Xenopus tropicalis: one gene and its partner. The protein of the gene in region 1 purifies or fractionates together with the protein of each later gene. This does not show direct contact. Links are inferred from orthologs where the notes say so. Each region holds a gene or a part of one and is shown in the gene's direction. Other genes may lie near its edges. The genes, in order: atf2 and atf1.

Evidence for each region.
Region 2: the proteins of atf2 (region 1) and atf1 purify together in Homo sapiens (affinity purification with mass spectrometry; 3 studies listed by BioGRID and IntAct, with this or other methods). This does not show direct contact. The link is inferred for Xenopus tropicalis from reciprocal best matches to the Homo sapiens genes ATF2 and ATF1.

What each region holds. Positions count from the first base shown.
Region 1 is NC_030685.2:64,415,295-64,419,632, reverse strand, and holds the start of atf2 (cyclic AMP-dependent transcription factor ATF-2), read left to right. Parts: upstream 1-1,435; 5' UTR 1,436-1,592; intron 1,593-4,338. UniProt on the Homo sapiens protein: Transcriptional activator which regulates the transcription of various genes, including those involved in anti-apoptosis, cell growth, and DNA damage response.
Region 2 is NC_030678.2:143,260,043-143,264,625, reverse strand, and holds the start of atf1 (cyclic AMP-dependent transcription factor ATF-1), read left to right. Parts: upstream 1-1,766; 5' UTR 1,767-1,880; intron 1,881-3,099; 5' UTR 3,100-3,205; intron 3,206-4,583.

The sequences.
Region 1 (4,338 bases):
TTGGTAGTATTGTTTGTGTAATTAGCAATATATTTATGCTATATGTGTCCTAAAGGCACTCTCAGGAAGGAGGGGAGTTATTTATATCATAGGATATTCTAGATTCTTTGCAGCATTTCATGTGTAACTCTGCCTTAGCTGTGGAGTTGAAGTAATGGTCAGCAGCCTATATAGGAACACGTTTTACAGAGTCCTCCATTCACATGTCCTTTGACTTCTAGTTCAAAGTGTTTGGGTTTCACATAGAGCTCTGCCATAAAATTTCTGCAGCCCTGACTAACTACTGTTACTGAACAACAGATAACATTTTGCCAACTAAGGTGGATCATGCTGTCAGTACAACATAAACTTTAAGATTTGATTGACAGAAAAGCATTCCAGGACAAGCTTCGCCTGAACGCAACAGAAAGCACCTATACCTACACCTACTTAGCCCTGAGCAGGGTTCAGCCCTTCTAGGTGGTATGTTTGTAAACACTGGAAGCTTGAAGCTCTGAGAGCCCCATGGCCCTGGTTGCCACTGTGGGACTGAGTGTGGAAGACAGGCAAAATACCAATGTCAGTGACCACTCTGCCTGTCTTTCCCCTGTAACATGGTGCTGAATTAGGGCAGACTGAATAAGTATGGGAAACTGGGTTCTTGCTGGTGCTTAATGACCAGCAAGGGAAGCCACCTAACCAATCCTGAGCCTTTCCTGGGCTGGTCTGGTTACCAAGGCAGCAGCATCTTCCTCCTGCACATAGAGCTGTGGACCAGAGCTGCTTGCCTCTCACAGCCTTAAATCAGTGCACCAGTTGTCTCACTGTGTTCCAAATGCATATTGCTCTTACCTTTAAATCATATACATATATACCATATATATTCCCTTGCTGTGTGAACTATGCAAGCATCCTGATATTTGTCATTTTTATCCCTGTCTTTATCAAAAAAATGTTGCCACTGTCTCTTTACTAAACATTAAGGAGTCACTCCATGTCCATTCAGACTTAAACAAGTGACCTTTTACAGTGTTTATGTCACCATAACACAAATCTGTGTGTGAAATTAATACTGTGACAGAATCTTCAATAAACAAAAAAACACTAAAATGATGGCAATTTCACTTGACCCTGGTTTGAACAAAACCCCTTTCCCTTTTAGTCAGACTGCGATATGAGGCTCTAAGGGTGTCAGGTACTGCTGCAACCAGGAAACGTAATTTTATGTTTGCTGGCACAAGTCTGAACTTTGATCCGGGAATAGAAATGACTTTTTATATTAGGAGCTGAAGTGGTGAAGGGAATATCAGTCAACCAACAAGAAAAAAAAAGTGTTTTTATTTAAGTATTTTTTTATTCGTTCGTTAACAAAGGAAGGCAGTGCGATCAGAAAAAAACCAGATTGAGAGTTGACCTAACACGACTTCCTAGCAGCCACCGACTGCGTACAACTCAGTTACGCCCACTCATCCCTCCCACAAGCGGCTGCGTAATGCGTCACTGCGCTTGCGTAGAGTCGTGACGCCAGTCTCGCGTGAGGAGACGCGGTGTTGGGCTTTTCTGTGGGACTGGGAAGCTGCTGGGAGCCTGCACTTGACAGCTTATCGGGAGGTGTAAGTAGCGTTGTGGGACTGCGGGCTGTGTTAGGAAAGGCTGGACTGTTGGGCAGAATGCACTTACATGGATTCCCGGGCCCCCCTGCTGTCAGTGAGCTGCAGACTTGGAAAGGGAGGGCGGGAGCTATGGTGCCTGGATGTTATTTACGCTGCTGCTGCTTGTTTTGTCACAGAGGTTCAAGTCCCTGTAAAGCCATTGTGGCTCTTCCGAAGTCTGCGGCTCACTGACAGCAAGGGTCCGATAATCCAAGTAAGAGCAGCACTGCCAACCCCCCTTAATTCCCAAACCCACTGGGTCTGGGACTGCCCCCCCCCCCCATGGGGGCCCTGTCTGTAAACCACAAAACAACACCACCTCAGGAGATCTTAAACACAACAAATCCCTCACCTATAGAAAGAATCCTACCAAGATTTCTGGGGGTGGTGTAAGTTGTAGTTCCACAATGTGTGGGGTGCATGACTGCCCAAGTATCCTAATATAAGCCCTTGGGTGCAATGTCATGGAGACTGGCCTTCACCTAATGGCATCCTTGCACTACAGTACATTCCTGAGAGGTTCCTATGGGCTCCTAGTGGGTGCAGCATTCTGCACCTTTGCTCTAATCCTGTTTGTTGTATCATTAGCCACTTCATTCCTTTTGTAAGAGCTTGCATGGATATCTTGACTCGATTTTCATGTGACCGATTGGATACAGTTTTACAATGAAACATGTTTTCCCTGTAATAATCAAATGTGATTGAGTTAAATGAAAATCGCATACAGTTTCAGCCGAATTTCGGGAGATTTGTGTTGGAAATTTCTGTATAGCTAGCCATAAACAGAAATAGTAAAACGAGATTTAACTTGTTTGGATTCCTGGCCATGCTGCCTGCCATTGACTTGAATGGTGCTAGTGGTAGGTGTATTTTGGTTCTGTGTTTTTGGGCTATGAAATAAAAACACAACAAGGGGTATCGTATCTTAAATCACCTTGTGCCCCTTTACTGTTGTTCTTGTTGGTTGGGAAATGCTTTAATGAGCAGGAGTAGTGTTTGGGGGGGGATTGAATCTGAAACAATCTTATATAAGATAAGAATGGGAACTGTCAAGCTTTCAGTCATATTTAGGGGAGCAAATGGTAATTCACCCCAATTCTCACCCTAACTGACCTTCAAACTGAGCCACCCTCACTACTGCCTCAAGCCCCCCCCAGAAAGGCCGGGTTCCATAGTATGTGAACCACTGCTATAAGGTATCACTGGGTCGGGGAAAGGAATATAAAGAAAAGAAAGAATAATAACTTGCGTCTTTCAAAGTGATTATAACATGGATTGCTGTGTTTGTATGCACGTATTGCTGTGACTATTAGGGCTGAACTACATAGAGAGATTTTGTTGGATATGGTGATTGCAAACAATCACATCTTATAAGTCTTATGTAGTTGTGCGGGTCTGTCAGTGGTGCAGCTGGTATAAAAGTGGAAATGCTGAGCTTTTATCTGACAAGTAGTCGGACAGACTTTTTCTCATTGAAATACACTGACATATGCAGATACATGAAAACAAGAACCCATCTGACTTTGAGAATCTGGTTTTGTAACATCCCACATAATTTAAACATTTTTAGAAAGGTCTTTTCAGTACATATTTGACAGCATACTGGTCTACTTTATATAGGGTTAGTTCACTGTTAAACTCTTTCATGTAGACAGGAATATACTGAGGCAATCTGAAATTGGTCTTCAGTTTTTTCCATCACTACTTTAATTTGGAATTTCAGCAGCTATCTGGTTGGTAGAATCCAATTTGCCCTAATAACCAGGCAGTGGTTTGAATGAGAGACTTGGATATGAAAAGGAGAGTGCTCAAAAAGATACTGTATATACTCGAGTATAAGCCGATCCGAATATAAGCCGAGGTACCTAATTTTACCTAAGAAAACTGGAAAAATTTATTGACTCGAGTATAAGCCGAGGGAAATGCAGCCGCTACTGCAAGTTGAAGTGATATCACCCCCCTCCCAGCAGCTAATTAGCAGAACAATGTGAAAGCATCAAGATAGCAGCTCCCAGTATATATCAGAATAGTACGCAATAGTAAGAAATCCAAGTGCGGCTTGGGATTCCCCCAGTTACATGGGAGTAGGAGAAACAATAGGTTACCTGAAAGCAGTCCTAATGTGTAGCGCTGGCTCCTTGTGAAAGCTCAGACTCAGGCACACTTTACTGCTGCGCTGCAAGTTGGAGTGATATCCCCCCTCACTCCCAGCAGCCAGCAGAACAGTGGGAAGGGAGCAAGATAGCAGCTCCCAGTAGGTATCAGAATAGCACTCAATAGTAAGAAATCCAAGTCCGGCTTGGGACTCCTCCAGTTACATGGGAGTAGGAGAAACAATAGGTTAGCTGAAAGCAGTTCTAATGTGTAGCGCTGGCTGAAAGCTCAGACTCGGGTACAATGCACTGAGATGGCGCCTACACACCAATATTACAACCAAAAAATACATTTGTTGGTTCAAGAATACAATTTTATTTGCTATGTAAACAGTGTAATTTAGATCTAAAACTATACCATAAAAATCAGTATTCCTTTAAAATTTACTTTGGGTTGTGTTAGAAAGTGCTTGGCAGCATCTATTACACAAACTCCAGCCTGGGTCTCCCACTTCAAAGGCCGTTGTGCCACACACCTACTGCTTTTTGTGCCACTCCAACCTGTTCATTAGATATATGCCTCATCCATTATTCGCACTGCTCACTGTGACACA
Region 2 (4,583 bases), on another chromosome or scaffold:
CATTTTTTTTTATTGAACCAACAAATGAATTTGTTTAGTTGTAATATTGGTGTGTAGGCGCCATCTCAGTGCATTGTCCCAAGCCGGACTTGGATTTCTTACTATTGAGTGCTAGTCTGATACCTCCTGGGAGCTGCTATCTTTCTGTGTTTTTTTAAAAAAACAGGTTTAAATACAGGATTCTGCTGGAGAAGCTCTATTAACTGATGGGTTTTGAAAAAAACCTGTTTTCCCGTGACAGTATTCCTTTAAAGCCCAATACAGAAACTGTAAAGAGCCCTCTAGGTGAAAACTGCACAAACCTTTTTTGCCCTCTTTTAATTACCTATCAGAGCTAGACATTTAAACGTTATGATAATACAGCGGTAGATTATATTCTGAATTAAAGGACAAGAAAAGGTAGATTCATGGGGGGCTGCAAATTTGTGTTGTGTGCTGCCTTGCCGTCTTTGTCTACATTCTCAGGGTTTCCTTGATGAGCTTTGGGCCAGCATAAGTATAGTAAATAACAAAACTGCACATGTGTTCCATGCAAGAAAACATTTGGAATAAAGGGAAAGATGGCGAAAAGTGCCCAAGTACTGTCCCAGGTATTTTCAGTAAAGTTTCAAAATTTGGTTGCAGTTAGTCTTAGGCTACTGCTACACAGAGCAGTGTCTTGGCCTGCGTATAAGTGCAGACCGGGAAACTGCCCCTCTGCTCCTATCTGTTTACAGTCACAGATTTTTACGCCAATAGGAACGGAGGGGCAGTTTATACACAAGCCAAGAAGCTTCTTGTCTTTGCTAGTGTGGCTGCAGGACTGTGCGTATCTGCCTCCTACCGTGCTTCTGGAAGGTATAGTTGGCAGACACTGCCACTCCTGAAACACAGACAGCGACCAGGAGGACCTATTGGGAGCTCTAATAAAGTGGTCTTTATTTAAAGATAATATTCATTTTAAAGTAAAACCAGCAGCATATATTATTCTTTGTTGCTTACAAGACAAGGAGGGGTTTTAGTTATACTATGTCTTCTTATAGAGGCCATACATGGGCTGATAAAAGCTGCTGAAGGTATGAGTGGCAGTTTTTCGGCCTCTGTATAGGGTACTCGGGCCAGGCCTATCCAACCAATGAGCGAGACGATTGGGCATGTTTATAAATCCCCTCGGAATGAGGGCCTCTATCCTGGCAATGTGATGCATTTCTTTTGGCCTGAGGGCCAAACAATGGGATCAATCCAATATTGCCCATGTCAAGGTAGGGAAAGCTCTTTTACTGACCTCGCCAAATGAGTGGATCTTTCAGTGTATTGCCACATTTATACTACAGCTGGCTGCTCAGAATAATTCCACGGACTTTTAAATCATCTTCTATACTAATGTGTATGATATTTTACAGCTGTTTGCTAGTCATTAAAAAGAAATCTATCTATATAGGGACTGTTTTTCCACCTTTCTACCAATAGGGTTTCAAAGAAATTGTAAAAAATGAAAACTGATGAATTTTTAATGATTTTGCATTTTAACTTTTATCTGTTGTGGCTTTTGTGTTTTTTGTGTACACATGCAATATACATATTCTAATTTTAGTTTTATTAAAGAGCTATATTTGCTGTTATTTTCCCTTACAACCTGTATAACATGCTGCTTTGCCTTTTTTTTTTTTTTTTTATTGGTTAAAATACCCACTCCTTTTGAAAAGCATGTGTTGAATATAATGGTTGTCTTGGTGCTTTATTACCAGTAACCTTCAGAATATTACACACATTTTTATATTTCTGAACAGTTTATTATGGAAGAGGCTTCCAAGAGCAGCAACAGCAGTACAGGAAGCTCGCCGATATCCGCAGTCTCTTCAGTGTTCCAAGCAGCTCACATCTGTCACGTTCCTCAACAGGTATGGTATGCCTTAGCGCTAATTCTTCTGCTTGTTCTCTTGGTATTTTCTGCTTACATATAAATGCATGTACGGCACACAAGTTTTGCTTCACATAGCTGTCAGATATATAATACATTATACTTTAAAACTTATACAGATCTCTGTACAAACATTTTACAAATTTTGTTTTTGTTTCTAGGTTAAGCTATGGAACAGTAAAATGAATGGTCAACTTTTGCCAGTCCCAAATATTCATAATAAGGACGTGGCTGGGGAACACACTGGACAGGTGCCAGTTGTAAAAAAACTTCTCAATGGATAAACTACCACTTTAAGATATCCATCTTGAAGTGGTAGTTTATCCATTGAGAAGTATTTTACAACTGGCACCTGTCCAGTGTGTTCCTCAGCCACGTTCTTACATATGTTTTTAGCAAAATTCTCAATAAATTATGATTTTGAGAATACTTAAGGAGGTCAGACACAGGGCGATAAAAGCTTGCTCCCTCCACAGTGTCAGCATCTTTTTGGCCCATGTATGGGGCTTTCTGATGGGCTTGTCTGACAGATATCTTACCAAAAATCAGCCAGATATGTATTAGACAGATTTAACAACCCTGTTAGACAAGGAGTGAATCGGTGCTGATGCAGTTCATGTCTGTAGGCCCCAGTTTTGGGTCTGATTGTTTGCCCCAGGGCTAATGTTGAGATGAGGCCCTGCGCTTAGGTGGCAAATCAGACACAGATTCACTCATGTGGTAACTTGACCAAACCAGTGGATCTGGCAGTGTATTACCAAATTAACACAGAGTTTATATTAATATCTATTGTGACACAAATGTCTCTGCTGTGCATTAAGCCATTTACAATGCTGTTTAGCATGTTACTTTCATGTTCATGTCAGACTATGCCACCTTATGACGAATTATATAACAATGGGTTAAGAGGGATGGTAAGGAAGCTGCTCATGGTCAGTCTGCCAGAGAAAGAATGGCTTCTTAGGCAAAGCTAAAATAGCCAGGGGCTCCAGTAGTAACCTTCTAGTAGCCTGGGGTACAAGTGAATTAAATTATTCATTCAGCATTTAATATTTCCATTCTGAAGATCCATTTGGAAATTAAGGTATAGCAGCCCTGCCATATGCTTTTTATTGTTCAGATGTATGTGTCAGCAGAATATTTTCTTGTAGAAACAACTGGAAATTAAACAAATGAATTTCCTTTATTATCTTGTTCAGGTTATCCAGCCTCTGATATTTCAGTTGCACTAAAGCCCACCCTTGAAGACTCACTTACTTGCCAATTTCTCAAGATATCACCTCTGGCGAGAAAACATTAAACAAGGTGAAATATGAAATACTTATATGACAAGTTTCAAGATGGCTTACTGTTACCAACGTTTAGAAGCAGCTGACTGGCTTTCCCTTTTCTTGAGTAGTATCTTGAAGTTTTTAGTTGGGGCGCACAATCTTCCAACTGCCGCATTAAATTCCTACTGCAACTACATTGAAAGCCAGTGGGCGTATGTTTTCTGTCCCTCTGCAATCACAAACATTTGATTTTTTTTTTCAATGCAAGCAGTTGGAAACATGGTGCCTGTCGTAGATTAGGCAGGGATGACTCAGACACCCTGTAGTACACATTACTAAGTACAAGCATTCAACATTGACAGAGCATATACCATTAAAATGAATGATAAGCGGCTTTAGGGTATTTAGCCATGATTCTTCCTGAGAGGACAACAGTAGTCCAAACAGAAGCTAGCATTACATCAATATAATAATATTGTCAGTTGTAAACAAACTGCTTAATAACAGCAAGCATACAGTTGTATCTGTGTAATGGTGTTTAATAGCAAATAATACCTATATGCACTGTGATATGTATATCTGTAATTGTTGGGGCTTACATCACTCTGCAGCACCACTGTTATTTGTTCACTTTTACTTTGTGGGTCTGTATCTGTCAGTATAATACACAGCAAATCTGCATAACTTAGGACTGTGCTAGCCAAAGAGTCTACTTTGACGCACTGCCCACAGCATGGCTAAAGACTATTTTTCCTTGCTTTCAGTTTCTCCTATGGGTACAGACTTGCATTGCCATTGCTTTACATTTCTCCCAACATATTAAAATGTGTTTTTTCTTCCTTTACCCTGACAAACAAACAGGGTCCCTGAAGTAAAAATTATTATGCCACACCTTCAAATAATGTAGTCATGATTTTCATTTCCAGCTCTCGGCATACCTTTTGACTTTTAGCTGTCAGTGAATTTGGGAGTTGCAGTTTAAAAAAATCATAGTTTGAATTTTTCTGCTATGAAGACTTAATTGATCTGTTGCTAGGATATTTTAATTGCTTGAAAGTATAGATGGGGTCGCTAGGTTGGTTTGTTTGTTGCAGGTGTTCCAAGAAATGTAAGAGCATATTAATTTCTTTCTGAATATGAGAACCACTTAGGGGTACGAAGTTTCACTAGATGCAGCTGCCACTGTGTCTGGATACCGCTTGGCCACAGAGTGTACATTTGGATGGTATAACTTATATACAGTGGAGGAAATAATTATTTGACCCCTCACTGATTTTGTAAGTTTGTCCAATGACAAAGAAATGAAAAGTCTCAGAACAGTATCATTTCAATGGTAGGTTTATTTTAACAGTGGCAGATAGCACATCAAAAGGAAAATCGAAAAAATAACTTTAAATAAAAGATAGCAACTG